Linked DNA regions of Canis lupus familiaris. The protein of the gene in region 2 purifies or fractionates together with the protein of the main gene of each other region. This does not show direct contact. Links are inferred from orthologs where the notes say so. Each region holds a gene or a part of one and is shown on either strand. Other genes may lie near its edges.

The links.
Region 1: the proteins of NLRP3 (region 2) and USP50 purify together in Homo sapiens (affinity purification with western blotting; 3 studies listed by BioGRID). This does not show direct contact. The link is inferred for Canis lupus familiaris from reciprocal best matches to the Homo sapiens genes NLRP3 and USP50.

The regions. Positions count from the first base shown.
Region 1 is NC_049251.1:16,734,723-16,750,982, forward strand, and holds the start of USP50 (inactive ubiquitin carboxyl-terminal hydrolase 50), read right to left. Parts: upstream 9,981-16,260; 5' UTR 9,813-9,980; coding exon 9,760-9,812; intron 8,569-9,759; coding exon 8,374-8,568; intron 8,096-8,373; coding exon 7,900-8,095; intron 5,282-7,899; coding exon 5,072-5,281; intron 3,994-5,071; coding exon 3,851-3,993; intron 1-3,850. UniProt on the Homo sapiens protein: Deubiquitinating enzyme that removes conjugated ubiquitin from specific proteins to regulate different cellular processes. Regulates the inflammasome signaling pathway by deubiquitinating 'Lys-63'-linked polyubiquitination of the PYCARD/ASC adapter protein.
Region 2 is NC_049229.1:381,106-396,934, forward strand, and holds the end of NLRP3 (NACHT, LRR and PYD domains-containing protein 3), read left to right. Parts: intron 1-3,749; coding exon 3,750-3,920; intron 3,921-4,380; coding exon 4,381-4,551; intron 4,552-7,561; coding exon 7,562-7,751; 3' UTR 7,752-8,197; downstream 8,198-15,829. UniProt on the Homo sapiens protein: Sensor component of the NLRP3 inflammasome, which mediates inflammasome activation in response to defects in membrane integrity, leading to secretion of inflammatory cytokines IL1B and IL18 and pyroptosis.

The DNA.
Region 1 (16,260 bases), on a different chromosome or scaffold from region 2:
TCTCAGGTTTTTATATATCTTTAAAAAGATAAAATTTTCCAAAAATCTTGTCCCATTCTCTATTTGTTTAGATCAACAATTCCAAAATCTGAATTCCTATCAGAATCACCCTGGAGCTTTTTAAAAAATAAATTATGATGGTGCCTGGGTGGCTCAGTTAGGCACCCAACTCTTGGATTTCTGCTCAGATGGTGATCTCAGGGTCAGGAGATCAAGCCCTACATTGGGCTCTGAGCTGGGCATGGAACCTGTGTAAGATTCTCGATCTCTCCCTCTGCTCCTCTCGTCCCCCTCTAAATAAATAAATTAAGTAAAAAAGTCCATTTTCGAAAAATGGCTGAATGGCTGATTTAGGTCTGGGGCAGGGAAATTACTGTGTGAACCTGAGATATCCTCATGCTTTCAGCAAGACACCTTGTTTGCAAAAACTAAGGGAGTACCTACTATCTGACCCAACAATCCTGTGCCTACATATCATAGCAGAAGAAATGAAGATTTATACCCACATAAAAACCTATATTCTAATGTTTATAGCAGCTGAATTCATATCCGCCACAAATTGGAATCAACCCAAATATTCATCAACTCATGAATGGATAAACAATTGTGGTATAAGGAGTGCCTGGCTGGCTCAGTTGGTAATCCATGCAACCTCTGATGCCAGGGTCATGAGTTCAAGCCTCACAATGGGTGTGGAGCCTACTTAATTAAAAAAAAAAAAAAAAACACCCATAAGAGTGGTATATTCATGAAAGGGAATACTACATAGCAATAAAAAGGAAAGAACCACTAACTCACTAACAACATGAATTAATTTCAGAAACACTATGCTAAGTGAAAGAAGCCAAACTAAAAACAAAACAAAACAAAAAAAAAACTGCACATGGCATACATAACATAGGATATTCTGGGAAAGGCAGAACTATAAAGACAGGAAATCAGATCAAACCTTTCCAGGGACTGAGTGTGGGAGAAGAGGTGGATTATGAGAAAGCATGAGAAAACTTTTTGGGGTGATGGACAGAGTTCTATGTTGGCTCTGCTGGCTACATGACCATGCATTTGTCAAAAATTCATAGGACTACACACTTAAAAAAAAGTATACATTTTATACTTACAATTATACTTTAATAAGTCTGCATTAACTAACTAATGAGCTCAGAGAAGCAGGCTTAAAGGGGTTCCCACTGGCCAATTTTGAGCAATTTAAGCATAAAGAAGGATGATGATAGTAATGGATTTTAGGCACATTAATTTTTAAAATATCCATGAGTTCGGGCACCTGGGTGGCTCAGTGGTTGAGCATCATTGGCTCAGGTCATGATCCTGGGGTCCTGGGATTGAGTCCTGAATAAGGTTCCTCACAGGGAGCCTGCGTCTCTCTCTGCCTCTGTCTCTGCCTCTCTGTCTCTCATGAATAAATAAATATTTTTTTTAAAAATCCAGATTCATGTTAATTACAGAGGGGAAACTATACTTATAAATGGTGGGGGGATCCCTGGGTGGTGCAGCGGTTTGGCGCCTGCCTTTGGCCCAGGGCGCGATCCTGGAGACCCAGGATCGAATCCCACATCGGGCTCCCGGTGCATGGAGCCTGCTTCTCCCTCTGCCTGTGTCTCTGCCTCTCTCTCTCTCTATCATAAATAAACAAAAAAATTTAAAAATAAATAAATAAATAAATAAATAAATAAATAAATAAATAAATAAATGGTGGGATCTTCTAGTCACTATCTTAACTATGGCATCAAACTTAACATCACCAAGAGTGGGACAAACTTTTATGATGTGCCTCCTGATATAATGTGTGTGACAAATACAGAACATCACCTAGTCTGCATTTCCACTAAAAAAAAAGTTTATCCTGAATCTCACCATGGGGAAGCAATTAGATAAATACAGAATGGGGCATATAATATAAACAATGGACTCCCCAAGGACTTTTTTAAAAAGATTTTATTTACTCATGAAAGAGAGAGAGAGAGGCAGAGACACAGGCAGAGGGAGAAGCAGGCTCCATGCCGGGAGCCCGATGCGGGACTTGATCCTGGGACTGCAGGACCATGCCCCGGGCCAAAGGCAGGCGCTGAACCGCTGAGCCACCCAGGGATCCCCACCAAGGACTTTTTTAATGAGAAAAAAAAAGTTTAAATATATAAAAAGGTGGAAGGATTATCCTAGATTAAGAGACTAAAGAAACAGCCAGGAGCACCTGGCTGACTCTGTTGGTTAAGTGTCTGCCTTCAGCTCAGGTCATGATCCCAGAGTCCTGGGATCAAGCCCCACATAGGGCTCCCTGCTGAGTAGGGAACCTGCTTCTCCCTCTCCCTCTGCCCCTGCTTGTGCTCTTTCTCTCAAATAAATAAAATCTTTAGAAAAAATAAAGAGACAGCCACGTGCAGTATATGACCCTGGACTGGATGCTGGATTAGAAGTTACAAAAGGCATTTTGGAGATGAAAAATTTAGATATAGATTGTATGTTAGGTGATGGGAAATCACTGTTACATTTCTTGAGCATGATAATGGTGTTGTGATTATTTCAAAGAATGTCCTTGTTCTCAGGTGATATGCGCTGAAGTACTTAAGCAGGAAATGCCATGGTGTTTGCTTCTTATTTCAGAATTCAGCTAATAAAACGGAAGGGATGAAGGAAAGAAGAGGGAGGAGGAAGGGAGGAGGAAGGAAGGAAGGAAGGAAGGAAGGAAGGAAGGAAGGAAGGAAGGAAGGAAGGAAGGAAGGAAGGAGAAAAGAAAGAAAAGAGGAAATGGGGCAATGTTACCAATATTAATGAAGATCCTAGGGCATATTCATTATATATTCTTAGAATTTTTCTGTAGATTTGAAACTTTTTATAATAAAAATGAGGTGGAATTAAAAAATTAAAATCATGATGTTTAGAATCAACCTCAGACCTGTGGAATAAGAATTCCCAAAGGTGAGGCCAGGGAATTTATTTTTTTAAAAGTCCTCATTGTAAAAAAAAAAAAAAAGTCCTCATTGTGAGTGCCAAATGTCTATCAACAGACAAGCAAAATATGATGCAGACACAATGGGATATTATTCAGCTATAGAAAGAAATGAACTTCCAGTACATACCACAACATGGATGAACCTTGAAAACATATTCTAAGTGAAATAGGTCAGCAAAAAGGACATTGTATGATTCCATGTACATGAAGTACCTAGAACAGGCGAGTTTATAGGCACAGAAAGCAGAATTGTTGAATCACTATATTGTACACCTGAACCTAATCTAACACTGTTAGAGTTCAATAAAAAGGTTAAAAGCATGGATTTTATGTTACCTGTGTTTTATCACAAATTTTTAAAAACTAATGTAATATACTGAATTCCATTGAAGTGTACACTGTACTTTTATGTCTTTCCTTTAGAGAGAGCATGTGCACAAGCAGCAGGGGCAGAAGGAGAGGGAGAGAGACTCTCAAGCAGACTCCTCAGTGAGCTCAGAGCCCGAAACAAGAGCTCAGTCTCACAATCCTGACATCAAGACCTGAGTGGAAACCAAGAATCGGACGCTTACCCAACTGAGTCACCCCGGCGCCCCTGAATTGTACACTTTAAATGGGTTAATTGCACGATCTGTGAATTATATCTCAAGAAAGCCATTAAAAAAATCTCAGGGGATCCCTGGGTGGCGCAGTGGTTTGGCGCCTGCCTTTGGCCCAGGGTGCGATCCTGGAGACCCGGGATCGAATCCCACGTCGGGCTCCCGGTGCATGGAGCCTGCTTCTCCCTCTGCATGTGTCTCTGCCTCTCTCTCTCTCTCTCTGTGACTATCATAATTAAATAAAAAATTAAAAAAAAATCTCAGAAAACATCAAAATCCATACCTTTTTAAATGAAAGATAATTATTTTTGGTGCTTTGGAAATACTGGCCCTTACAGCTGTTTCTTGCTTGGTTTCACAGAAAGAACAGTGAATTTGGTTATTCCAGGTCAGTGTGTCTTGTTGAAAAAAACACTGGAGACAGTCCTATGGAGGTAAAAAAGCATTTGGTGACTACTCTGGATCAACTGCAGCCCAGCCTGTTTACAGTAGCACTTTGCAACAGCTGTGGAAATGTGATCTTCAGTGCTTTCCCCAAAGTCAACACATCCAGGAGGCCCTGTGTCACGAGCTGTTGCCTGGACAGGTTTAAAACCTACCTGACAAAAGGAGGTGCGTCTCTCTCACTTAGTTACTGAAATGGATCCAAGTGCCCATCTCACTTCCAATCTCTGGATCAGCATTTTAACATTTCTGGTTTATTTCAGAATAATACTGACTGTGCAGTTTCGACTAACCAAGTCAGGCAGCTGTCTTAGGTTATTTGTCTCATCAGAAAAGTGATCCAAAAACTGAAAATGACCGTGTCCCGTGTTTTGAGGTGACCCAAAATGAAGACGGCAGAACAGAACTTGATCCCATGCCCCCAGAAGCCATCCTGAATGTAGCCAGCCCCCCACTCTGCAAACCATTAACCTGAAGAGAAAGATGAGAGCAGACTGTGTTTCAGTACACATGCCAGTGCCTCATTTAGTGTCTTTGGATTTTGTTTCCAATCATCTTCAGCAATTCCATCTGAGAATTAAGCCTACTTCTACATAAGTAGTAGGATTCTGTTCTCCAATTCTGGTATGGGAAAACTTATAGCAGCAGATGTGTCTTCACAATTTAGTTAGAAAAATATAAATATGTATTATTCTTCAAGGATACGTATTGCTCCCTGCCTTCTAGCTGTCCCCTGCCTTCTACTGCTACCTGGATTTACAGATTAATTTTTGGTATTATGGTGAGGAAAATTCAAGAGGTAAATTCCCTGTATGTACCAGGCCATCTTAAATAGAATGAACAAATCCCACCAGTCATTTCAATTTTACAGTGAGGCTGTTTTAATGATTACATTTAGAAATACAACTGAATTCACAGTAACTTTTGACTATACGTTGCTTTTCTACAAAATATAGTCATCATGGGCTTCCAATTTGTTTTAAGTTATAGAGCAGCCCCCCTCATAATAGACAATGTAGGAAGCAGCCCTGAGATGGTATCCAGGAGCAAGAATCCCTACCTGAAGAGAGCACTCATATTCGGATGGAATGGGGAGAGAGAGGACGGTGAAGACTTCATTCTTGTAAGTACAGTTCTCACACTTCAAACACATGATGCTGTAGTTGAGCTGCCCTTCAAACAGCTGTGTGATGATGGAGGACTCACTGGCAATCACCTTCCTGCAGCATCTGAGAACAGATCCTTTTTCGTGTGATCTTTTTCGATGGTACTGAATCAAGGAACAAATTGGCCCCGAATCAACTATTGGTTATCAAAAGAAAGCTTTTAACAGAATGACTTGATTTTTTTTTCGATCAGAATGATACACTGCTACCAGAAACCAATTAATTTTGGATTCAGACAATACATAGGTAAGATCTTCTTAAGTGTACATGTTATGTGGGGCAACTGGGTGGCTCAGTCAGTTGAGTGTTGGGCTCTTGATTTCCGCTCAGGTCATGATCCCAGGGCTTTGAAATCGAGCCCCGTGTGGAGCTCCAGTGAGGCTCCCCAGCCAGCCTTGCATAGAGCTCTGAGCCCATCAGGGAGTCAGCTTAAGATTCTCTGCCCTCCTTGTGCTCTCTCTCTAAATAAGTAAATCCCTTTTTAAGAAAAGTATATATTAGGATTGATTTCTGATAATTCAGTTATTTTCCTCCTTAAGCAAAGCTGAGGAATGATGACACACTAAGGCTGGTAAAACACATGTCCGTGCCCAGAAGCAGAGAGCTTATGATCATATGATACAGGGTCCTAGAGACAGTTCTTCTTGGGAAGAGGACAAGTAAGCTTTTGAACTAGCTTTCAGTCATGCAAACTGATGGAGGAGATAAATGAAATCTGTCCTCCCTCCAGCCCCTTCAGATTTAGCATCTTCTACTTCTATTGTTAGAAAACACTTTTTGGGGGCACCTCAGTGGCTCAGTGGTTGGGCGTCTGCCTTTGACTCGGGTTGTGGTCCCGGGGTCCTGGGATTGAGTCCCACATTGGGCTCCCCGCAGGGAGCCTGCTTCTCCCTCTGCCTATGTCTCTGCCCTCTCTGTGTATCTCTCATGAATAAATAAATAAAATCTTTAAAAAAAAACTTCTTTAAAAGAGCAAACCTTAAATTGCTAAGGCAGCTCAATTTAGCCTTGTAGCCTGATTTGATCTAGCTCATATTGAGGAATACCCTTTCTGGGAGCAGTTTGGTGCTTTTCAGTGGTTGAACGGCCTCACTAGACATTCAAAAGACAGCTCCACAGACAGCTCCACTTTGGAGCTGTGCTCACTGCTACCCTTAGCCTTGCTTCTTTCGTCATGCCCTACTACCGAGGTTTTCCACCTGATGGTAACTTGATGGCCCTAATGCCAACTTTAGTCTTGGGAATGAGAATGCTGTTTATTTCAGATTGGGTGCATATGAAGACCTAAGTGATTTTACTGGCCACCACCCTAACTTCCGGCTTAAAAAAAAAAAGTGCTGCCATGAATATCTTTCTATCAGTAAAAATGAAAAATGGAATCACAGGAATGGAAAATGAAATCTGAGGATCAGGGATGAGAGTCATCAATGCCTCTCATCTGCATCATTTACTGAAATATTTCCTGATGGTAAGTATAAGGTAAGCTAACGTCAGCACAGCGACACTACATAAAACCACGCATCTCTTTTTGGTGAGTATGTGTCTCAGATCAAGACTGAAGGCAACGAGTCTTACAAAGAAAAGTAACACCTTCCTAAATGGCAATCTCATGTTTTATTAAGTGTTATGTCCTGATCCAGTGAAGAACTCAAGTTCAGAATGTTTAGCACAAAGATGAAACTTCGCAGTATTGAGGTCTGTCCTTTAACCCGGAGCTTCCTATTTTCTTGGGTCTGTAGTTGCCATGAACATGTATTTTAGGTTGTAAAGTTCTATATGTTATTATCTCATGAGGAGTATATTTTTATTTAAAAATATGTGATTATCACTTAAAAAACAACTAGTCTGTGCAGATGTTATTTGCAAAGGGAACAGATTAGTGTTTCCCACGCCTGTTGATCACTGAAACACCACGTGAGCTTTCCCAAGGGACAGCCCAGGACATTCTAGTTCAGTAACACGGGAGTGAGGGTCTTAGAATTAGTGTTGTAAAACTCTTCTCGGGTGATTCTGAAGATGAGCTAAGCTTGGTAAATACAGACCAATTCAAATAGTGACTTGAGGGACACCTGGGTGGCTCAGCGGTTGAGTGTTTGCCTTCAGCCCAGGGCATGACCCTGGAGTCTCGGGATCGAGTCGTGCATCGGACTCCCTGCATGGAGCCTGCTTCTCCCTCTGCTCATGAATAAATAAATAAAATCTTTATAACAAAAACAAATAGTGACTTGAATGTGCCCTGCACAGAGTGGGCAATACTAACAGAACAGATGAAAGAATGAAAAGTAAAAGTTGGGGCAGCCCTGGTGGCTCCGTAGTTTAGCACCGCCTTCTGCCTAGGGCCTGATCCTGGAGACCCGAGATCGAGTCCCACGTCGGGCTCCTTGCATGGAGCCTGCTTCTCCCTCTGCCTCTGACTCTCTCTCGAATAAATAAATAAAATCTTTAAAAAAAAAAAAGAAGAAGGAAGAAAGAAAGAAAGGAAGAAAGGAAGGAAGGAAGGAAGGAAGGAAGGAAGGAAGGAAGGAAGGAAGGAAGGAAGGAAGGAAAGGAAGAAAGAAAAGAAAGAAAAAAGGAAAGGAAAGGAAAGGAAAGGAAAGGAAAGGAAAGGAAAGGAAAGGAAAAGAAAAGAAAGAAAAGAAAAGAAAAGAAAAGAAAAAAAAGAAAAAAAGTTGCTGACAGAGCCGAAGGTCTATCTTATTTCAAGGCCATTAATCCTACTCACTTTTTTCAGAGCTTCATGAAGTTCATTCAGGACATAAATCAAGAATTCCTGAGCATCCTGTTGTGTCTTTTTCATAAACGCTGGGTAGAGGCTGCCAAGAGCTGACCGAAATACTTCTGGGGAGACACATTCTGAGTCTCCAAGCCACATGTCTGTCATCACATAGGCGAAAGCAGTGGCCACCTCACGGCAATCCCTTGGAAGAGGGGCAGAGAATGTTTCCGGCCGACTTCACCGAAAGGAAGGCACCTCCAAGCTGGGGCAGGTGGCAGCACACCAAAACCCACGCCCGTCTGTCGGCCGAGCTCCCCGCGGGGTTCTTCACTCTGGAAGTGGCGCCCGGGGCTCTGGGGCTCTCGCTGGGCCTGAGCGGGGGCTCGAGAGGGCTCCCTCCCGAAGCTCACCTGGGAGGTCGGGGCGGGGGTGGGGGGCTAGGCAGTGGGGGCTGGGCCGCAGGGAACACAGCGGCCTTACCTTTGAAGAGCCGTGATGTACTTCCCGGAGACGAAGTACTCCACCAGCGGCGAAACGCTGCACAGACACTGCAAGATGGCGTTCATGTAGCACGTGTTGCCCAGGTTGCGCAGGCCCGTCACCCCCTGGCGGCGCGGCGGGCTCGCACGCAGCTCGGCCAGCGCAGGGGCGTCTGGGGGATCCGTGCACTCTGCGCTGCGCAGGCGCGGCGGGCCAAGAAGGGAAAGCGTTCTGAGGGGCCCGCCGAGGGCCGAGGGCGCCCGCCCGCCCGCCCGCCCCGGGCCTGACCCGCACGACTTATTCCCGAACTCCGAATGGCGCCTGCGGCCCACTAAGCAGAAGTCAAAGTTTCTTCCCGAAACCACAGTAAGGGGACTGAGAATACTGGCCTTGCAGAGACCTAGAATCGCATTGGCTAAACATGCGAACTTTCCCTCAGAGTTCCAAAGTTTTAGGCACCTGGGTGGCTCAGTCGGTCAAGTATCCGACCCTTGATGTCGACTCAGGTCACCCTTTGGGGTCGTGAGATGAATATAGACGCGTGGATACACATGTATATAGCCGTCTGTTGGAGGCTGGTGGTCACTTCCAACACACTTTAACACCACCACGTCTTAGTTCATTCCTTCCACATTTTATATTCCCTTTTTTTTTTTTTTTTTTTGGTTTGGTTTTGTTTATTTATTTTGGGTGAGAGCATGTGCCAGAGTAGAGGGAGGGGCCGAGGGGCAGAGAGAGAGAGAATCTTCCAGCAGCTTCCTGGCTGAGTGTGAAGCTTGGGCAAAGCTCCATCTCACATCCCCATTTAATTCTTTCAACAAGGGACACCTGAGTGACTCGGTGGTTGAGCGGCTGCCTTTGGCTCAGGTTGTGATCCCGGGGTCCTAGGATCGAGGCCTGCGTGAGGCTCCCTGCAAGGAGCCTGCTTCTCCCTCTGCCTATGTCTCTGCCTCTCTCTCTCTGTCTCTCATGAATAAATAAATTAAATCTTAAAATAATTCTTTCAACAATTCTATGGGGTAGGTATAATTATTTTTAAATTTCGTTTTACAGAGGAACTATTACATTTAAATGGTTTTATTGTTTGCCTATTATATATATATAATATGTACATATATATGTACAGTGGAATGTGGAGAGAAGGAATATCTACCTACGTACCTACCTACTGAGTTATTTGGATTTATATATCAGGTAATAACTAACAGTGTGTGTGTATACACACACACATATATATGGCATCTTCCCTTCTCTTTGGGGGACCCCCACTGGGTCAAACCTGAGGGAACCCTTCCAAATGTGGCATGTAACCCCCACTCCTTTGATATGGTATCCTCCACCGCCCAACTGAACTTCTTATGAAAGCTATAGTAGAGAGTGGCTCACAGGACGTAGTAGATGCTGAAGTCATCTGCAGGGAGGGGCCGCTGCGAAGTCATTTTAGTGAAACCACGTTGAACTTCTACTCAGGAGCTACATTTAATCCTTTTAACTTCATTTCTCAAAGCCTGTTACCTTAGCTCTTTTTGTTTGTAATAAACAATTTATATGGTTCTCTCCCCTTTCAGTAGCTGCAAACTGATTTTTAAATATACTTCAGGTACATTCCAACTTGGATTTCCCATGCATCATAATCATTTCCATTCATCCTCAAGATTCTAGCATGTTGCCATGAGATACCATAACTTGGCTGCTTAAAAACCATAAAAGTATTAGATTTCAGGGGTGCCTGGGTGGCTCAGTCATTTAAGTATCTGACTCTTGGTTTCAGCTCCGGTCATGATCTCAGGGTTGTGAGATCCAGCCCTGCATTGCTTGGACATGAGGCTGCTTAAGATTCTCTCTCTCCCTCTCCCTCTGTTCCTCTCCAACCCCCTTCTAAAAAAAAACATTAGATTTCACAGAATGAACTGAACATATAACCTCTCTTCCTCCTTCACTCAGTTTCTCTTGAATATAAATATGTATATATATCACATATATATTATACATATCACATATATATATCATATATATATGTGTGTGTGTGTGTGTGAATCACACACCTACACAGAATATTTACCTCCGCATAGTCCACTATGGCAACCCTGCCCCCTTTGGGCACCCATCCCCACTCCCAGGGACTATCCAACTCTTAGGATCCCAAGGGAATATTTCTCACTCCGGGATGGGAGGCAGTTGGATTTTGCTGCTTTGAAAAATGCATAGCATTGGAATAGACTGTAGTCTTTCTCTTCATGGTCACCAACTATAGTTCAAAGAGAGTGTAGACACACACACACACACACACACACACACCATTAGAGCCAATCCAATTTCTCTTTTCCCAGCTCTGCAGTAAGTAAAATAAACGAGGTTATAAAAGAAGAAACTCTTCAAAAATGTAAATATCAGGAAAGATAAAGAAGGCTGAGAATCATTTCAGATTAAAAGATAAACTGGAGGGGTGCCTGGGTGGTTCAGTTGACTGAGTATCTGGCTCAAGTCACTATCTCAGGGTCCTGAGATTGAGCCCTGCATCAGGCTCTATGCTGAGCGTGAAGCCTGCTTGAGATTCTCTCTTTCCCTCTCCCTCTGCCTCTCCCCATCCCACACTTGTGTGAACACTTGCATGCTCTCATTCTCTCCGTCTCTCAAGAAAAAAACAAACTGGAGAAACAAGACACTTAAAATACCCAATCCTGGCTAGGATCCTGGATCAGGAAAGAAATTGCTATAAAAGGACATTATTGGAACAATAGATAAAATCTGAATAGGATTATATGTGAATAGTTTTGTATCAATGTTGAATCTTCTGAATTTTATAAGATGATATCCTGTTTATGAAAGAAAATGTCCTTGTTCCTAGGAAATACACACTGAGGGATTTTAGGGATAAAGAGGCCTGATATGTGCAAACTGCTCTGAAATGGTTCAGAGAAACGCACAGAGACACAGATACACATGAGGAAAGGAGGGAAGGGGATAAAGTGACAAAGCAAAGATGAAGCAAATGCAGCCAGATGGCAGCAATGGGTGAATCTGGGTGATGGTAGACTGGAGCCCTTTGTACAATTCTTGCAATTCTTCTCTAAGTTTGAAATTATCTCAAACCAAAACTTTCAAAAAAACAAGAATGTAAAAAATATGATTTTAATATGGATTTATCTCCAAGATATATTACTGGTGAGCCAAAAAAGCAAGGTTCTGAAGAGTCCATCTACGGCGTGCACCCCGTTTATTTCCAAATGTATTTATGTTAATGTTCCACAAAAACATTAAGAAAGATCATTCTTTGATGCCTGTATGAGGGATCCTGGCAACTAGAGGTGCTAGTCTTACAGCTATTTTATATTTGTGGTCTATTTACAAAGGGGCTTCATGAAGTCCCCTCAGTGGTGATTCTGCTCAGTCAGTGAACTTCTCCCAAATACTTCAGTTCTTCTTCATCAGTAGAGTCTTGCTAAAATTTCATTTTATGATTGATGCTCATCAGTAAAAACAGGACTCATATTCATATGTTGATATTATATCCAGGGACCTTTCTAAACTCAAATTCTAATTTTTATAAAGATTCTTTGGATTTTCTACACACATTCAACTCATCTGCAAAAAAAAATCACTTATTATTTTCCTTTCCAATCCTTATGCTTTTTATTTCTTACCCTTTGAACTAGTTAGCACCTCCAGTAAAATGTTGAACAGAAGTGAGGATAGTAGTCTTCCTAGCTCATTCCTGAACTAAGAGGGAAAGCTTTGAATAATTCACCAGTAAGGTACACCTGGGTGGCTCAGTGGTTGAGCATCTCCCTTCAGCTCAGGGTGTGATCCTGGGGTCCTGGGATCCTGGGATTGAGTCCCACATCTGGCTCCCCACAGGGAGGCTGCTTCTCCCTCTGCCTGTGTCTCTGCCTCTCTCTGTGTGTCCCTCATGAATAAATAAATAAAATCTTTTTGTAAACAAAATTCTCCAGTAAGTATGATGTTTGCTAAAGGCATAGTTTTGTTGTTGTTGTTGTTGCTATTCTTGAGGGGGGAGGGGCAGAGAGAATGAAGGGGGGAGGGGCAGAGAGAGAAAGAATTTTAAGCAGGCTCCACACACATAGCACAGAGCCTGATGTGTAGGTTGAGATCACGACCTGAACGGAAAGCACAAGTTGAGGGGATCCCTGAGTGGCTCAGCGGTTTAGTGCCTGCCTTTGGCCCAGGGCGCGATCCTAGAGTCCCAGGATTGAGTCCCTCTCCAGCTCCCTGCATGGAGCCTGCTTCTCCCTCTGCCTAAGTCTCTGCCTCTCTCTCTCTCTCATAAATAAATAAATAAATAAATAATTAATTAATTAATTAAATAAAAAGAAATCACAGGGATCCCTGGGTGGCGCAGCGGTTTGGCGCCTGCCTTTGGCCCAGGGTGCGATCCTGGAGACCTGGGATCGAATCCCACGTTGGGCTCCTGGTGCATGGAGCCTGCTTCTCCCTCTGCCTGTGTCTCTGCCTCTCTCTCTCTCTCTCTCTCTCTGTGACTATCATAATTTTAAAAAAAAATTTAAAAAAAAAGAAATCACAAGTTGAACACTTAGCCGATTGAGCCACCCAGGGGCCCCTAAAGGCATAGTTTTTGTTCCTTGTGTTTCTTTTTTAAAGATCGTATTTATTTATTCATGAGAGACACAGAGAGAGAGAGAGGGGGAGAGAGGCAGACACACAGGCAGAGGGAGAAGCAGGCTCCATGCAAGGGGCCGGAGCCCGACGTGGGACTTGATCCTGGGTCTCCAGAATCACACCCTGGGCTGAAGGCAGCGCTAAACCACTGAGCCACCCAGGTTGCCCCAAACGGTGATTTTCTAATGCCATTATTTCACCTACGTTCATCAACTGGTAACCTATAAAGACAAGTTTTTTTCTTTTCCTTATTTGTTTATTCTTCGAATCAGTGTGGATTCATGAATTCCTACTTTATTTAATGGATTACAATGTTATCATCATTTATTTTTGATATAAAAATTGTCTCCAGATTAGCCAGCAGAGGGCTCTTCAAGATGTTTTCTGCGCCTGTTTGAATGTCTCCATCATTCCTTGAACACTTCCTTACTTTTGGCGCAGTAAGATCTTCTAGACATACCTGCCCCAGTCCTGAAGTTAGTCATTTCTCTAAGAGCCCTGGTTCCTTTTGGAGAATAGTATTTAGAAGCCGAGATCTAGAAGCTAGATGTACTCATGCTATTACAGTGTCACAGCTTCGTTATCTTCTGTATGTTTCCGTATCTGATCAACCCCCTGCTGCCCTCCTGCTGCCCCCGCTCCCCGCACACTCCATTACATTCCACACACCTCATGCTTATCCTCCTTCTCTGACACCTCACACCAGGTCATTGCTGCTCAGCAACAATCCAAGGCCCATCTAAATTGGTCTCAAATAATTAATGTCTTTTAAACCAAATTGTGAATGGATAAAGGAAGAAAGGAATCTGGTTATTTTTTTGCTTCTTTCGTTGGGATTACCTTTTAAAAACTCCCCTCCCCACAGACTTGTCTAGAAGCTGTACATCATTTTAATATTCTTGGATTGTTCCCTATAAATATTTCAACAAATATACAAGTAGCCCTTGTTATCTTAATCTATTTGGGTTCAAAGTTTGAATGGCAAGGGATATCATTATTATCCCAGCCTATTTGGTTTTTAAGCTCTAGATGGCTTATAATGACCTTGTGTGAAAATTTATTTAGTTCCTTGAGATCACATAGTGAGACAGGATAGAAAGGGTTACCCATAGGTAAAAGTACTTTTTGGTCAGTTAATATCTGTAACTTCACCCAAATAGATGAGACTATTAGTGTCCTTAAGTACCATCTTTCCCTGAATCGTCTTTTATTTTATTTACTTATTTTTTAATTTATTCATGAGAAACACACAGAGGCAGAGACATAGGCAGAGGGAGGAGCAGGTTTCCCACAGGGAGCCTGATGTGGGACTCGATCCCAGAATCCCAGGATCATGCCCTGAGCCAAAGGCAGACGCTCAGCCACTGAGCCACTGAGGCATCCCCTAAATCTTCTTCTAATATTTAAAAATGTTTTATTCTAGTTTACTTTTAAATTTTATACAACTTATATTTGCCAGAAAGTATTTTATGAATATTGCTTGCCGCTTTTATCTCAAGTCTTCCTATTTAGATCCTATCCTTCTTTTTGCTTGAGTATATCCTTGATTGACATTTTCCAAGAAAATGATGAACTTTCTGGGAATGACATCACATGGCTGGGTTCAAAGTCTTCCCTTTCTCCTAATAATGTTGCTTTCTTGCCTCGTGGATACGTGAGGACAGGTGAGAGTTCTTTTGTTAATCTGCTTTTTTTTTCCCTTTGTAAACTTTTTTTTTTTGTAAACTTATTTTTTGCTATGTATTTATAGAGTTACCAAACTGTGACATGAAGTACATACTTTATTTCCTCATTTCTAGGTCTTGCACCTGGAACTCCTACTAGATAGTTGTTGCATCTTTTTCATTAATCCAGAAAATATTTATTATGTATCTACTTCAAGTTAATCACTGTGTTAGATGCTTAATAGTGAATAAAATACAAATCTTTACCTTCGTATAGCTTTCAATCTATTGATCACTTGGATTTATTCTGTGCTTTCAACTCTTATTTTCCATTGTTTTGACTCCCTTACATGTGTTATGATTGAGCACTTATGATTACTTTATTTGAATTATCTTGATGTTTTAGCTTTACATTTGTGCTCAACGCTACTTTTTACATCCCTTTTTCTAATTTCATTCTTAGAGTGAATCTTTTATTTATTTATTTATTTTAGATTTTATTTATTTATCCATGAGAGACACACAGAGAGAGAGGCAGAGACAAAGGCAGAGGGAGAAGCAGGCTCCTTGCAGGGAGCCCAATGTGGGACTAGATCCTGAGACTCCAGGATCACGCCCTGAGCGGAAGGCAGATGCTCAACCACTGAGCCACCCGGGTGTCTTTCTTAAAGTGCATCTAAAAAGTGCCTTCAAAAGATGAAAATGGAACAGACTTAAGCACTTCTATGCAAATGATACACATCCACATATCTCAAAAGCATGTGCTCATATTCCAACCATACTTTGCTTAACAGAAGAGGCTACAAGATAAGTTCTTTGTAAGGGAAAAATTATTCTCAGAATGTTCTGTTCTCCATCATGTACTCCTCTCTTCACTGGAATTCCTAAGGAAAGGCAGCATGAACAAATCCATTACTTGAGTACCTTTATGTGCTGAGTACGTAACTCTCTGCACCTTCACAAAAATGTGAGATCAGAATTATCAGAGAGGCTTGCTCAATTGGCTGGTTATTCATGGAATAAGAGGAAGAGCAAGAATGGGAGTTCAAGTCTGTCCAGTTTCACTTTGCATTAGTGTATATATACACAGTAGCTACAGAGTCGAAAGGCCCTTAAATGTATGACTTATCAGTTCAACATTCTTATTGCCAGATAATATTCTATAATATGGATTTATCATATTTCACTTTTGGGTATTATTTTTGTTTATTATAAAAAATGCTGTTATGAACATTCATGCACAAGGTTTTGTGTAGACATATTTTCATTTTCTTGTGTATACACTTGGGGGAAAATTGTTGTCATATGGTAACTCTTAATATTTAACCTTTTGAGAAACTGCCAGACTGTTTATCAAAGTTGTAACACTACTTAAATGTCCACCTGCAATATATGAGCATTCGAATTTCTCCATATCCTTGCCAACACCTATCATATCTTTATTCTAGCCATCCTAGTGAGTGTGAAGTGGCAGTTCATTGTAGGTTTTCTTTTTTTTTTTTTTTTTAAGATTTTAGTTATTTATTCATGAGAGACACAGAGAGAGAGACGGAGACACAAGCAGAGGGAGAAGCAGGCTCCTGAT
Region 2 (15,829 bases):
ATGTCTTGAATTTAGGTCTTTATCTCTGGTGGCATTTTGCACCACTCTCCTCCCACACCAATATTACATAAATGCCACATGGTGGGCATTTGCAAAATTCTTTAATTCTTGTAGGAATTAAAGGGTGCTGAATTAAAAGAATTAAAGGGTGCTGCCCACCCTCATCTTTTGTTCCCTTCTTATCCTTTCTTTACTGCCTTGTTGAACAGTGGGACTTTCCAGGGGGCTGATTAGCCAGTAAACAGGAAAATATTAGGTTTTCTTTACTTTCAGTTCCCTCTACCCCCTTCTTTCTTTTACACAACACCAGAGGAGTTTTCTAAAATGTTGATTTGAGGGATTCTTGTGTGGCTCAGTGGTTGAGTGTCTGCCTTTGGCTCAGGCCATGATTCCTGGGTCCTAGGATTAAGTCCTACCTCAGGCTCCCTGCAGGGAGCCTGCTTCTCCCTTTGCCTATGTCCCTGCCTCTCTTTCTTTTTTTTTAATAATAAATTTATTTTTTATTGGTGTTCAATTTGCCAACATACAGAATAACACCCACTGCTCATCCCGTCAAGTGCCCCCCTCAGTGCCCACCACCCAGTCACTCCCACCTCCCGCCCTCCTCCCCTTCCACCACCCCTAGTTCGTTTCCCAGAGTTAGGAGTCTTCATGTTCTGTCTCCCTTTCTGATATTTCCTACCCATTTCTTCTCCCTTCCCCTCTATTCCCTTTCACTATTATTTATATTCCCCAAATGAATGAGACCATATAATGTTTGTCCTTCTCCGATTGACTTATTTCACTCAGCATAATACCCTCCAGTTCCATCCACGTTGAAGCAAATGGTGGGTATTTGTCATTTCTAATGCCTGCCTCTCTTTCTTTGTCTCTCATGAATAGATAAAGTCTTTTAAAAATAATAAAGTGTAGACTTGGTAATATTGAGGTGTTTCTTAAAAAACTTCAAAAGTTCTTTGAAGTCAGAGTGTACTTGCTGTGTCTTAGCATATTACACAGAGCTGTCCCTGATCAGCTCTAGATCATTGCTTTTGCCATACCCTTTACTCCATTTTAAGTCATATTGAATAAGTCTTAGTTCTAAAAAGTTGACCTCTTTCATCCTTCCTTCCCTTGCTTATCACTTTCTTTTTGCTTGGTATGCAAAATACTCTCCCATCCTCACAGTCCATCTAGGAAGCTCCTTCTTATTTTTCAAGTAATTTCCTTGAGTCTCAGCTTTTCCATTTAAAAATAAGGATGAAAACAATCCTGCATATATATTGGCTAATTGAATTTAAATTAAATAAAAAAGGAATTAGCATTAGGGAATTTTATGAACAATATTTTCACTTATTAAAGGACACTTTAAGCTGAAAAATAAAATTAAAAAATCAAAACAAAACAACAGCTCCATCTTGGTTTTATAGTAAATCTATGAGATAATCTTACTTAAAGTCATTATTTCAGCCAAGCATATAGTAAACACTTAAAAAATGTTAAATATTCTTCCTCAGTTTTCTTTTGTGACACATTTTTATAATGTAAAGTATATCAGTACATTTAAAAAACATAATAATTTGACAATAGAGTACATGGCAAGATATCTGTGCTCAGTGAATGTAGAACTGAGTCGAATGGATTGGTTGAGACCAAGAGAAATGATGGTTACAGCCCTCTAATCAAGTGGTTGTTTGATTGCCTAAATATTTCATCATGCACCCCATGCATCCATCACTCAGTCTCAATGGTTATTAACATTTTGATAATTCAGATGTGACTTATTCTTAACAAAACCACCTTGTGCTTGTAACTGCTGCATTTCATGGTGCACTGTTCCTCAAATACTTGTTTCATAATCATTTCCAGTCCTTTTATGGAAATGATGGCAGAGGTTTCCATTTTGTATCCTGCAAAATATTTTTTCCTTTCCTTTTGAATGACATGTTCAGTCTTCTGGAATGATCTTTATCTTTGCTGGTGTCTTAGTCTGTTCAGGCTGCTGTAACAAAAGTACCATAGTCTGAGTGACTCAAACAACAAACAGTTATGTCTCACAGTTCTGGAGGTGGAAAGCTGAAGATCAAGGTGTCCATAGATCATCTGGTTCCTGGTGAGAATTCTCTTCCTGGCTTTCAGACACCCATCTTATTGTGTCAGCACATGGCAGTAGGGGAAAGGGAACTCTCTAGGGTCTGTTTTATCATGGCCCTAATTCCATAATGAATACTCTATGTTCAAGATCTGATTACCTCTCAAAGGCTGCACCTGCCTACCATCACAATAAGTATTAAGATTTCAACATGATTTTGAGAGGACACAAATGTTTGGTTCATAACGCTGATAATCTTGCAAATACCTTCTGTATCCTAATTAAGGACCACCTGATGAAATTGTTCCTAGCTGGAAATAAAGTTATTACTAGAAGCCCTTTAAAACTTGCCTTGTTTTTTTTGTTTTTGTTTTTGTTTTTTTTTTTAAACTCATCCATCTTGGGCTTTATTCTCCTCTTTGTCTTGCTTATTCTTTTTTTTTTTTTTAATTATGATTCATCCTTGACTGGGGAGATGGAAAGCACTGTGTAGATAAGTACTTCTGCTTTCTTTTGATCACCTGCTGGTACTACTTTCTATGTGTCTTTTTTTCCTGATTCTAAAACATCTTAGAGCTTAAAAACATAACATTGTTAAGGATTCTGGCAGAAAGAATTTGATTGCATGAGATGTTGTTAAGTCAAAGTTTTGTTGAAGGTCTAGCATATGTGGCTTTCTGTGTATGTGTACCACCTTCTGAGCTTCTATGCTAGAATGATGCAGCTCTACCTCAGAGAATCATGCTCCTGTTGGGTGATAGGATATATTCACTTTGACCCAAGTGCAGCACACCAAACATCTTAATCCCTGAGTGTAATTAATGAGTGTAATGCAAATCTAGATCTCTGCTCCAAGAGACCCCTTCTAGTGAAGAAGGAAGAGTGATATGGATAGAAGGGACACAGAGGAGCAAAGACCCTATAAGGCTTAAGTCCAAGTCCCCTCTCCACTAAACACTTGCTCTTTGACCTTAAGAGAAACATATGATTTAATAACCTCAGATGTGTAATCTGTAAAAGATATATAATAGTTACAGCTGCACTGCCACCTCGCTCAGTTAGTGTGAGAATCAAATAAGGCAAGTGCCTGCATTGTTATTGGAATTAACAGTGTAGGATAATCTGGGATTTTTTTTTTTTTTTTTTTTTTTTTTTTTTGGTATTAAGATGTGGTGGTAAGGAGCATGCATAGGAGAGGGAATATGTGTAAGAAAGAAGAAGAATGTGGAAGGAATCTGGATCAGTTTGCTTTTGCTCTGTCTCTTCTAATGATCCCAGCAAGACATCTGCTGTGACCATTACTTGTCTCTCTTATTGGTCCACAGGCAGAGTCATGCTCTCCTCAGATTGTATGCAAGATGCTGGCTCCTGACCTTGAAGTTGAAGGATGCAGCTTTTTTTTTTTTTTTTTTAAAGATTTCATTTATTTGAGAGAGAGAAAGAGTGAGTGAGAGAGAGCACCAGTGGGCAGTGCAGGAAGACAGAGGGAGATGCAGACTCCCCACTGAACAGAGAACCTGACTCAGGGCTTGATCCCAGAACCCCAGGATCACAACCTGAGCCCCCAGGTGACGCAAGGATGCACCTTTTTAGATAAGATGAGATTCCTGTGGCAAGATAGCTGAACCATGTTCAAGGAAGGCTGAACATTGAAGGCTTGTTCTTGTTCCTTCTCCAGGTTGGTGAATTCTGGCCTCACACCAGGTTGCTGTCCAGCTCTGGCCTCCATGCTCAGCACTAACCAGAAGCTCACACACCTTTACCTACGGGGCAATGCTCTTGGAGACACAGGGGTGAAGCTACTCTGTGAGGGCCTCTTGCACCCCAACTGCAAGCTTCAGATATTAGAGTAGGTCTCATAGCTAATTACAATGTTGGGGATGCATGGTGGCTAAGGTGGGGGGATGATAATGGGATGATTTGTATCTGAGAAGTGATGGTGTCCTCTTGAGGTTCAGCTTATTTCAGGATCCTGAGACTGAGAGGACCTCTACTTCTTGTAAATACTGGATTTCCCTCACCACAAAAGAATAGGGTGATTGGCACTGTGTTTTAGGGAAACTTGAAGAGAGGCATAGAATTTGGCAAAAATCAATTCACAATTACTAATTTGATCTTCACAATCTAGTAGACTGGAAAAAATACTTTCATCTGAAAAAGGGGAGAAAAATAACCATGGGCACAAAAAGTTATTCCAAGTTAGTTAATCCTGCGCTTTTTGTGCATTTGAAACATTGCAAGCTGAGAGCTTGTGGAGTTGGGGGGATGGTGAACAGGGCATTTTTTCTAAATCACCCTCTTCCTTGCAGATTGGATGGCTGTAGCCTCACCTCACACTGTTGCTGGGATCTGTCCACGCTTCTGACCTCCAGCAAGAGCCTCCGGGAGCTAAGCCTGGGCAGCAATGACCTGGGAGATCTAGGGGTCATGCTGCTCTGCGAAGTGCTAAAACAACAGGGCTGCATCCTACAAAGCCTGAAGTAAGTGTGCTCTGCACAGACTCACGTGGCAGCATTCAGAGTCCCAAGGACAAGTTGATCAGTTATCAAAACCCCAGATGGTTTCATCTGTACTCAGACTGAGATTGAGCCTGAGCCTGTTGTCCCAGACTTTTTTTTATAGGGTATATGAGTTATGAACCAATATTTAACTTTATCTGGACAGTCAGAATAATTAACATTCAGTTGGGTGTGAAAAGTTTCCATTCATGTTCCCCAAAAAACACAAGTCCCAATGAAAGTGGAGGACTAGGGCTATATGGCTCTTTAAGTGACCATATGTACTTTGAGAACAAGAGCATCCGTGGTTCATCTTAATCACAAAGGTCTTTGCACAGTGGGGTGTTCTGAGGATTTCTAAGTGGGAAAAGAGAGTTCCAGAAACATGAAGTTTAGAAGTTCCATGAACCAGCTTATGTGCATTGTGTTGGGTTTTATTATTAGTGATACCACCAGATATTCATTACCTCTCCAGTAAGAGCTTCCTAATGAGTCCTGTACGTTTGTCAGCCCTGATGATCACATTCTCCACAGAAGACACTCCCCTCACTTAGTGTTAGGGGGTCACACCTTTTCACAGTGGATTTCTTCCACTTCATTTGCTGTTTCTGCTCAGTCTCCTTTGTGGATTCTCTTTATCCTCCTGACCTGCACATGCTGAATCCTCAGGATTCCATCATTGGGCTAATTTTTCTTCTCTATACTTCATCCCATGTGGACATCATCTAGTCTTCTGGCTTTACCATATATATGTTGTGCTACCCAACTTATACCTGCACGAATTCCATGTCCAAGTGCTAATCTGACCTTTCTGTTTGTATGTCTAATAAACCTTCTAAACTTTACATGTCCAAATCCAAACCGCATTACCCCTTCTGCCAAAAAACTGCTTTGTCCCCATCTCAGTCAATGGTTACTCACTGTGAATTTCTCAAGCTAAAAAAAAAAAAAGGAAAAAAAAAAAAAAAAGAAAAAAGAAAACCTGTGTCATCTTTGACACCTCTTTTTTGTTATGCACACGTCCAACTCATTGACGTGCCCTGATAGGTTTCATAACATACCTGTTATTGACCTCTTCTTGCCAGTTTTGTGACTCCTACCCTGGTTCGAGCCATTTGCCCTCTTGTCTGGAATATTCTGGTGGCATTCTGCATCTCTTATTATTATTACCATGGCAGATGGAGGGTGCAGCTAAAACATGAACAAGTAATCATATCATTCCTACCAAAATGGTCTAGTGACTTCCTGTCACATTTAAAGCAAATTGCACAAACTCATGGCAGTGCGCACGGCCCCCTGTGATCTGGCCCCTGCTTCTTTTGCAAATTCATTTTCTCCTAATTCATGTTCCTTCTGCTCCACTTATACTGATCTCCTTGTAGTTTTGCAAAATTACTGTCACCCCCAGAACTTTGCACTTCCTGTTCCCTCTGCTGGACCTCTCTCCCCTTTGACATTGGTGTCTTGTTCCCATGTGTCTTTAAATTCTCTGCTGAAAGGTCTTCTAGATATCTGTCTCTGATCATCCTACTGAAAACAGCAGTCCAGCATATCCTCATCCCCTTTTCTTTGCTTATTTTCTTCCATAGTGTTGATCACCATTGTACAGACATGCAATATCATTTTCTTGTTTATTTATTATCTATATCTTACTCAAATAATATAAATTCTATTAGTCCTGGGACTTCTAGTTCATGACCTCAAGGCTGAGAACCAACTGAAATGCAGGTTCGCTTAAGCAGAAGTATGCATCGGCATTGCATCATTAAGCAGACACAGTGGAGCACACGTGCTGCAGGAAAAGCCAAAATTCTCAGAGCTAAGAAAATAGAGGGACAAAGGGAAGGATAGGCCAGGATGAAGCTGGGACATTTCTGTATGTGGAATTGCTCACCCAGTCCTGAAGGACTCTCTGGAGATGAGGGACAGGCTTCAACTAGACTGAGGAACCTCTATGCAGTCAACATGTCTTATCAGCTCAACACACATTCATTTCTCACAGTTTTCAATACGGAATGTCTAAGATCACAGTGCCAAGAGATTCAGATTCTGGGGAGAGCTTTCTTCCAGGCTTGCAGATGGCTGCCTTCTCCCTGTGTCCCTACATGGCAGAGAGAGACAGAGACAAGGACAGGGAGACAGAGTGTGTGCTGTGGCTTCTCTTATCATAGGGGACTGATCCCATCATGATGACCCACCCCCGCTCATCTAACCTTAATTTATTTCAAAGGCTTCTTTCCAAATACCATCACATGGAGGATTAGGGCTTTGATGTATGAATTTTGGAGAAACACAATCAGTCCGTCACACAAGCAAATCAAGATTGTTAGAAATGATGCAGGACAAATGGAATGATTTCTTAGCTAAGTTGTAAGGGAAACTTAAAAAAAAAGAGAGAGAGAGAGACAATAGGGAAGAAATTGTGTATCAAAGAAGATTTGAGGGACATACCAAATAATTTGCAGTGTGTGAACTTACATGGCTGCTGATTAAATGAACATAATATAAAAAGTGTATCAGCCAGTTGAGGAAATTTAAACACTGATTAGACATATATGTTGATATTAAAGAATCACTGTTAACTTTTTAAAGTGTGATAATGGAATTGTGGTTGTGTTTTTAAAAAGCGTTCATTTAGTGTCATATAGTGAAATATTTACAGATGCATGCAATGTTGTGTTTGTAATAATCCACTGATGTGAGGAGTAGGTGGGTGAGAGATGAAACAAGATTGGCCATGAGTTATTAATTGTCAAGTCTGGGTAACAGGCCTAGGGGTTCATTACTATTCTCTGTGAATGTACATATATTTAAACATTTCCAAACTTGAAGGTTAAAAATATAACCGGAAAACATGAGGCATGAATTATAGCATTGGAGAGTTTAGGAATGTGTTAGGTTAAGGGAAGTAAGGAGATGAGATTTTTAAGGCAAACACTCTGAGAGTGTTCTTCCAAGAACATAATGCAAGGCTCTTTATTTCCTCTTGCAGGTTGTGTGAAATGTATTTCAATTATGATACAAAATGTGCATTAGAAACACTTCAAGAAGAAAAGCCTGAGCTGACCATTGTCTTTGAGCCTTTTGGTAGTGACAGAAGCAGGCTGCCAGATGCCAGCGTTTGGGCTCCCTGCCATCTAGGTGTCCACAAGTGGGAGCGAGCACTCCTCCATCCAGGGTGAACACCATCTCTCGACGACTCCCCTGGTCCAGGGTGGGATGCCAAATCCTGCTGATGGTGCCTTTGTACAGAGAATGTGAGCACCCCCTTTGTCCCGGTTTGAAGACACAGGACAATCACATCATCCAAATGAGGTGGTTCTCAGTATAGAACCTTAGTCAGATATGTTCCTTTTGGTGACCTCATGTAACTAACTCATTTAATAAAGCACTTTTTCTGTTTCTTTTTCGCTTCTTACTCTCTCTAAATCTCCTTTCCCTCATATCTTTTTTACCTATCTTTGTTCTGTTCACTTTCACCCATCACCACTCCTACTATCTTTCCCTTAACTGACTATAACAGAACAAGTAAACTATATATTATGTTGCAATTTTGTGACAATGACTTATTTATTTTTGGTTTTTGTAACAGTTTTATTTTCTAATAAAAGAATTCATGTTTATTGTAGATAGTTGAAAATTCAGAAAATATAAGCCCTTTTGGTATTTATTGATTTAAATAGTTTTTTCCCCTTAATTTTAAAAGAAGTTGGCTAGAAATATTTTTTACTATAAACTACTGTAGATAAATTAAATTGCTTTATGCATTTAAAAAAATGAGTGGGAAATATCAGAAAGGGAGACAGAACAGGAAAGTCTCCTAACTCTGGGAAACGAACTAGGGGTGGTGGGAGGGGAGGAGGGCAGGGGGTGGGGGTGAATGGGTGACAGGCACTGAGGGGCGCACTTGACGGGATGAGCACTGGGTGTTATTCTATATGTTGGCAAATTGAACACCAATAAAAAATAAATTTATAAAAATAAAAAAAGATAATCCTAAAAAAATAAATAAAAAAATCTCTTTGCCAAATGATTTAATAGTAATAGTAATAGACGAAGAAAAAAAAATCATCTTACCCTGACTCTAGTGGTTGAAATTGCAGCTCTGCTGGGATAGAAAATTGAAAATCATGCAAAAGAAGGTTTTAGAGTACATGGAGCCTATACTAATAAATAGAGGTATTATGTAGAAAATGCATTTTACCTTCAATTGTAAGAGTTTATCTTGGGTTTATCTGACTTCAGGAGCAGTTCATCTGCCATACTTCATATTGATTAATTGCTTTTCTATGCATGGGACAACTCTTGAACCACATGGGATTGTTCAGGATGGAAACACTGTTTCCTCGTTAAATGAGGCATCCAGAGTTCTGCTGCTCAAAGCACTGCCTGCCAACTGTTGATATAAGAAACTTGGCGCAAGGATGTAGATCAATCACATTACTAAGCATGCTTTTTAGATAAGCTGATTTTTTTTCTTGGTAAGAATGCCTCAATAAAGGAAACAGTGTGTGATTTATATTTTGTTGCAAGCTTTTTTTCTTGTCTAGGACCAGCGTTTGGGAGTAACTCTGATCTAGATTTTTGTTTTCTGCATCTTGGTGAAGTGAACTATTACACACTGTCTCCCTGCCACACACGCATTGACTGACAGGGTAAAATGTAATTAAAACACAGTTATTCTGGAAAGAGAAAAACTTCTGGACACCAGGAACTTAAAACTGAATTGAGAGTTTACCAATCACTCACCCAGAGGAATATCTGGATAAATAAAAATGCTACAATATGACTATTAATTTGGAAGAAATCCATGAGGCTTCCTACACCAGTAGAACTAAAAAAATAAGTAAAGTTGTTGGATAGAAGATTAATATACAAACATCAACAGCATGAAACTGGAAAAAAAATAATTCTTTCCAACTATCATAGTAAAGATTGTATCAAGTATGAAGCAAATGGATGAGTCCTAAACGCTAAAAGGATGTGAAAGAAGAGCAGGTACTTACATATTTGGGGAGTCTCCACAGTTGGCTAATCAGTTGTGAAAGAAAAATATTAACTATGTAAAGAACAGAAATTAGATAGCATCCTAACCATCTCATAAAAGGTATCAATGGAGGCAAATGGATGTTTCCTTTCTGGTGAGATGACTTGAGAAGGTGAATAATTGCAGCACAGGATGTATATGCAGAACCTTGTCATTGGGAAACACTGCACCAATTCCAGATGAGGCAGTACAATTGAAAAGAGGAATTCTATCTGAAGAGGGGACTGTCATCTTCAAGAACATCCATGTCATGAGATCCACATCACTTGCCATCAGGGAAATACAAATCAAAACCACAATGAGATACCACCTCACACCAGTGAGAATGGGGCAAATTAACAAGGCAGGAAACCACAAATGTTGGAGAGGATGTGGAGAAAAGGGAACCCTCTTACACTGTTGGTGGGAATGTGAACTGGTGCAGCCACTCTGGAAAACTGCGTGGAGGTTCCTCAAAGAGTTAAAAATAGACCTGCCCTAAGACTCAACAATTGCACTGTTGGGGATTTACCCCAAAGATACAGATGCAATGAAACGCCGGGACACCTGCACCCCGATGTTTATAGCAGCAATGTGGAAGGAGCCTCGGTGTCCATTGAAAGATGAATGGATAAAGAAGATGTGGTTTATGTATACAATGGAATATTCCTCAGCCATTAGAAACGACAAATACCCACCATTTGCTTCGACGTGGATGGAACTGGAGGGTATTATGCTGAGTGAAGTAAGTCAATCGGAGAAGGACAAACATTATATGTTCTCATTCATTTGGGGAATATAAATAATAGTGAAAAGGAATAGAAGGGAAGGGAGAAGAAATGGGTAGGAAATATCAGAAAGGGAGACAGAATATGAAGACTCCTAACTCTGGGAAATGAACTAGGGGTGGTGGAAGGGGAGGAGGGTGGGGGGTGGGGGTGAATGGGTGACAGGCACTTGACGGGATGAGCACTGGGTGTTATTCTATATGTTGGCAAATTGAACAACAATAAAAAATAAATTTATATATATAAAAAAAGAACATCCATGTCAGTATTGATAACAGGTAATTCTTGGGAGGGGAAGGGGGGTGGTTATGGGATTGCACTATATGCTATTCATATTCTTTTTTTTTTAGATTTATTTATTTGAGAGACAGAACTCAGGAGAGTGGGGGGAGGGAGAGAGAATCTCACTTAGGCTGTGTGCAGAGCACAAAGCCCAGCACACAACCCTGAGATCATGACCCGAGTCAAATCAAGAGTCATCCTGTCACCCAAGTGAACCCCCCAGGCACCCTTATCATTCTTATTCTTGTATCTTTTCTGTACATATGGCATTATTTCCTAATTAAACATAATAAAACAATAAAATTAAAAATGCTTAATAGCACTCCTAAGCTCCTGCAATTTAAAATGTAATAAAATCCTATTAATTATAGCAATAAAAACTATCAGATACCTGGAATAAATATATCAAAAACTGTACAAAAGTTATACAAAAGAGACCTAAATGAATGGAGAACTATTCATGGATGGGAAGGTTCCGAGCTCCACTGCCTTTGCATCGACAAAAATGCAGTGCAATTGCAATTAACATACTAACGGGGATTTTAATAGAATTGAGCAAGATGATTTTGAAAATGTATCTGGGAAATAGTGGGGCAGAGTATTGAGGGAAATTTTGACAACCTAGTAGGATCTGCTTCACCACATATTCTGGTGCTATAATTGGTCTACATATTAGAGGCAGGATAGAGTTCATGTGCAGGTGTAGAAATGCATGGAAACGCAATCTGTGGCACTGAAAATGATGAAGAAAGGATGGTCTAGTCCAGGAACCTGGCTTTGACGAATTGCCATACTTGCAGGAACACTATTTCTCATACAAATAACTTCCAGGAGTGATAAAGACACTGGTTTTTTTTTTTTTTTTTTTTCAATAATTTTGATTTTATTGTTTTATTTTTCTTTTTTTTAAATTTTTCATTTCAAGTTTTTATTTAAATTTCTGTTAGTGAACATGCCTTGTAATATTAGTTTCAGGAGTAGAATTTAGTGCTGCTAAACATACAAAACCCAGTGCTTATGACAAGTGCCCTCCTTAAAGCCCATCACCCATTAAGCTCACCCTCTTGCTCACTGACATCCATCAACCCTCAGTTTGTTCTCCAAAGTTAACAGTCTGTTTTATGCTTTGTTCTTTTCCCTCCATATGTTCATCTGTTTCATTTCTTAAATTCCATGAGTAAAATCAGATGTTGTCTTCCTCTGATGGACTTATTGGACTCTAGCTTCATTCATGTCATTGTATATGCCAATATTTCCTTTTCTTCTTCTTTTTTAAAGATTTATTTATTTATTTATTTATTTATTTATTTATTTATTTATGAGAGACAGAGAGAGAGAGAGAGAGGCAGAGACACAGGCAGAGGGAGAAGCAGGCTCCATGCAGGGAGCCGGACATGGGACTCGATCTTGGGTCTCCAGGATCATGCCCTGAGCTGAAGGTGACGCTAAACTACTGAGCCACCTGGGCTGCCCAAGATTTCCTTTTCTAATGGCTGAGTAATTTTCCACTGTATATATAGACCGCAGCTTCTTTATCCATTTGTCTTTCGAGGCTCCTTCCACAGTTTGGCTATTGTGGACATTGCTGCTATAAACATCGGGGTGCAGGCGTCTTGCCATTTCCCTGCATTTGTACCCCATTTCCCTGTATCTTTGGGGTAAATCCCCAGCAGTGCAATTGCTGGGTCGTAGAGTAGTTCTATTTTTAACTCTTTGACCTTCACACAGTTTTCCAGAGTGACTGTACCAGTTCACATTCCCACCAACAGTGCATGAGGGTTCCCCTTTCTCTACATCCTCTCCAACATTTGTTGTTTCCTGTCTTGTTAATTTTCCCCATTCTCACTGGTGTGAGGTGGTATCTCATTGTGGTTTTTATCTGTATTTCCCTGATGATGATGTTGGCCATTCACATGTCTTCTTTGGAGAAATTTCTGTTCATGCCTGCTACCCATTTCTTAACTTGATTACTTTGGAGAGAGTGTTAAGTTTAATAAGTTCTTTATAGATCTTGGATACTAGCCCTTTATCTGATATGTCATTTGCAAATATCTTCTCCTATTCTGTAGGTTGTCTTTTAGTTTCCTTCACTGGGCATAAGTTATTTATTTATTTATTTATTTATTTAAAATTATTTATTTATTTGAGGCAAGAGAAAGAGAACATGAGCAGGGTGGGGGTTTAGAGGGAGATGGAGAAGCAAACTCTCCACGGAGCTGCTTGTGGGGCTCAGTCCTGATCCCGGGGCTCCAGAATCATGATTTGAGGTGAAGGCAGACACTTAACTGACTCCCCAGGCACCCTGAAGAGGCTCTTTATCTTGATGAAGTCCCAATAATTCATTTTTGCTTTTGTTTCCCTTGCCTTTGGAGACGTGTCTTGCAAGAAGTTGCTGGGGCTGCCATCACAGAGGTTGTTACCTGTGTTCTGTAGGATCACATTATATACCATATATAAATCTAGATAAGAAAGACAAATTTCATCGCATGTCATGTAAGCATATCGACAAAGATCACTAAATTAACAGAATAGAATTACAACAAAAGCATAACGTTTCCTATGGGGGAAAATAAAGGCATAAACCATTTAGAAGAAAATAGAGCAAAATATCTAAGTTATAAGTTTTTAATGGGTTTCCTGAAATAGACTTAAAATGCCCACAGTATAAACGAAAGGTCACTAAATTAAACTACAGCAAAAAGTGAAATTCTTTTTTTTTTTTTTAAATTTATTTATGATAGTCACACAGAGAGAGAGAGAGAGAGAGGCAGAGACACAGGCAGAGGGAGAAGCAGGCTCCATGCACTGGGAGCCCAACGAAAAAGTGAAATTCTTGAGTACTGTTGTAAAGTTAAAATTTTAGCTCCAACTTAAACCCTCTAGTGCCGGGCTCCAGTCCACAGTTCACTCCAGCCATTGTTCTCAGTAACTGCCCACATTTGTAAGAGGACAGCAGGTCACATCCGAGGACCACCTCCTTCTTTGCCTTTCAGCCTTGGGGTGTCTGTGACCCTGCTTTGGGCATGCGGAAAACTACCCCTGCTGCTTGGTCAGCCAATACAGCAGAGCAACTGCCCGGTGGCGCTGCCTTTGACCAACAAGGGTGTGGGCCCTGATGAAAATTTTTCTTTCTTTCTTTCTTTCTTTCTTTCTTTCTTTCTTTCTTTCTTTCTTTCATTTATTTGAGAGAGAGAGAAGGCACAAGAAGGGGTACCAGCAGACAGAGGCAAAGGGAGAGAAAGTAGGCTCCCGCTGAATAGGGAGCACAACTTGGGGTTCGATCCCAGTGATGTAGTTTTGGAAATAGGAGCCAACAGCCAAGAAAGAATTCTTGAGATGTCTTTGGTGCAAAATGGTGGTATTTTGAAGCCTGGTTTATTGAAGACAGGACCCGTGGGCAGGAAAAGGGGCTGCCCTGGTCCTGTGAGGGGAGGCTGATTATATACCTGCAGAGATGGGGGAGGTAAGGAAAGGAAGGTTTCAAAAGATTTTTTTTTTTTAATGCTAAAGAAGACTCCCAGGATCCTGAAGGCCTTGCCATTGTCAGGTTAAGGTTGTTTTCTCCTCTAGTAAAGCATTAGCATTAAGATAGCTGAGCTTCCTTCTGGAAATTAGGTTCTTTTTTTTTTTTTTAAGATTTTATTTATTTATTCATGTGAGACACAGAGAGAGGGGCAGAGACACAGGCAGAGGGAGAAGTAGGCTCCATGCAAGGAGTCCAATGTGGGACTGGATCCTGCAACCTGGGGATCAGGACCTGAGACAAAGGCAGATGCTCAGCCACTGAGCCACCTAGGTGCCCCTGGAAGTCAGGTTCTTGATAAGAATGCTTTTTTCTTGTAAATCACTAAGACATTTTGTAAACTGAAGGAGATGCATGTCTATAGGACAATCATCTCTATAAATTAACTATTTGCTTTTCCTTTCCCTTAGCTTTAGGGCAGCCAGGAGGCCTGGGAATGTCACACACGTCCCCACGAGAGGGGCTGGTTTGCAGGGTGGACCTTCTGCTCTGTCCTTAGCTAGCCTCCTACTTCTCCTCCCCCCTCACCAGGACCCTGAGATCATGACCTGAGCTGACATCAAGAGGTAGATGCTTAACAGAGTGAGTCACCCAAGCTCCCCTTCTACCCCCTTTCTGAGGTATATTCTACAAGTCTTTCAGAAGGTTCTGCTGGGTCTGAGCCCCTGTATCTAGCCTAGGGGCCAGTTCATCAAGTTTCTGTCCAATTTGGTTTCCTTTTGTTATAGGGGATAGTGTGTCCTCTCCCCACCCCAGCTCCCAGACCATTCCAATTCACATGTTAAAATCCCAACTAAGGGTATGACTGTGTTTGGAAATCAGACCACTGCAGTTGTCATTAGTTAGGATGGAACACAGTGGAATGCCCCAATTCAGACTTCACATGACCTAATGTAAAAGAGTAGAATTTGGACCCAGACATGCACATGGGGAAAACCCCAGGGGAAGGTGGAGGCAGAGATGTGTGAGCCATTTGATGTGGGGATTTCCTGCAAACCACCAGAAGCTAGGGGAGAGGCATAGCACAGATCCTTTCTCGTAGCCCTAAAAGGATCCAACTGTGTTGGCATAGTTCTGTCAGATATCCCACCTCCACAGAGGTGGGATGATGCATTTCAATGGTGTAGACTGTGCGGTTTGGGGAGTCCTAGCAAATAGTATAATGCATAACAGCTAAATGTACTGTCAGGTTAAGATGGTATCACTTGCTCTCGTCATCGAGGCTATCACTGGTGAGGAAGTTTTGGAATATAGATGAGGTTCAGAGCTGATGGCCAAGAAAGAATTCTTGAGGTGTCTTTGGTGCAAAAAAGGTGGTTTTATTAAAGCCCGGGGACAGGACCCGTGGGCAGAGAGAGCTGCGCTGGGGTCATGAGGAGTGGCTGGTTATAGACTCTCAGGTCAGGAGGGGTCAGCGAGAGCATGGGTCTCTAAGGAATTTGGAAGCACAGTCTCCAGGACCCTGAGGGGCCAGCTGCTGTTGGGAAGGGTCACTAATAAAACCCAAGTCATAAGCCCCTTCAGCTGTGTATCCGTGGGCCATGTGCTTGGGGGACGATGTTGGGGTTGAGACATAAAGGAAGTTTCCAAGGGAATGTTTATATGTTAGAGCAGACTCACAGGGTCCTGGGGTCGGGCTCA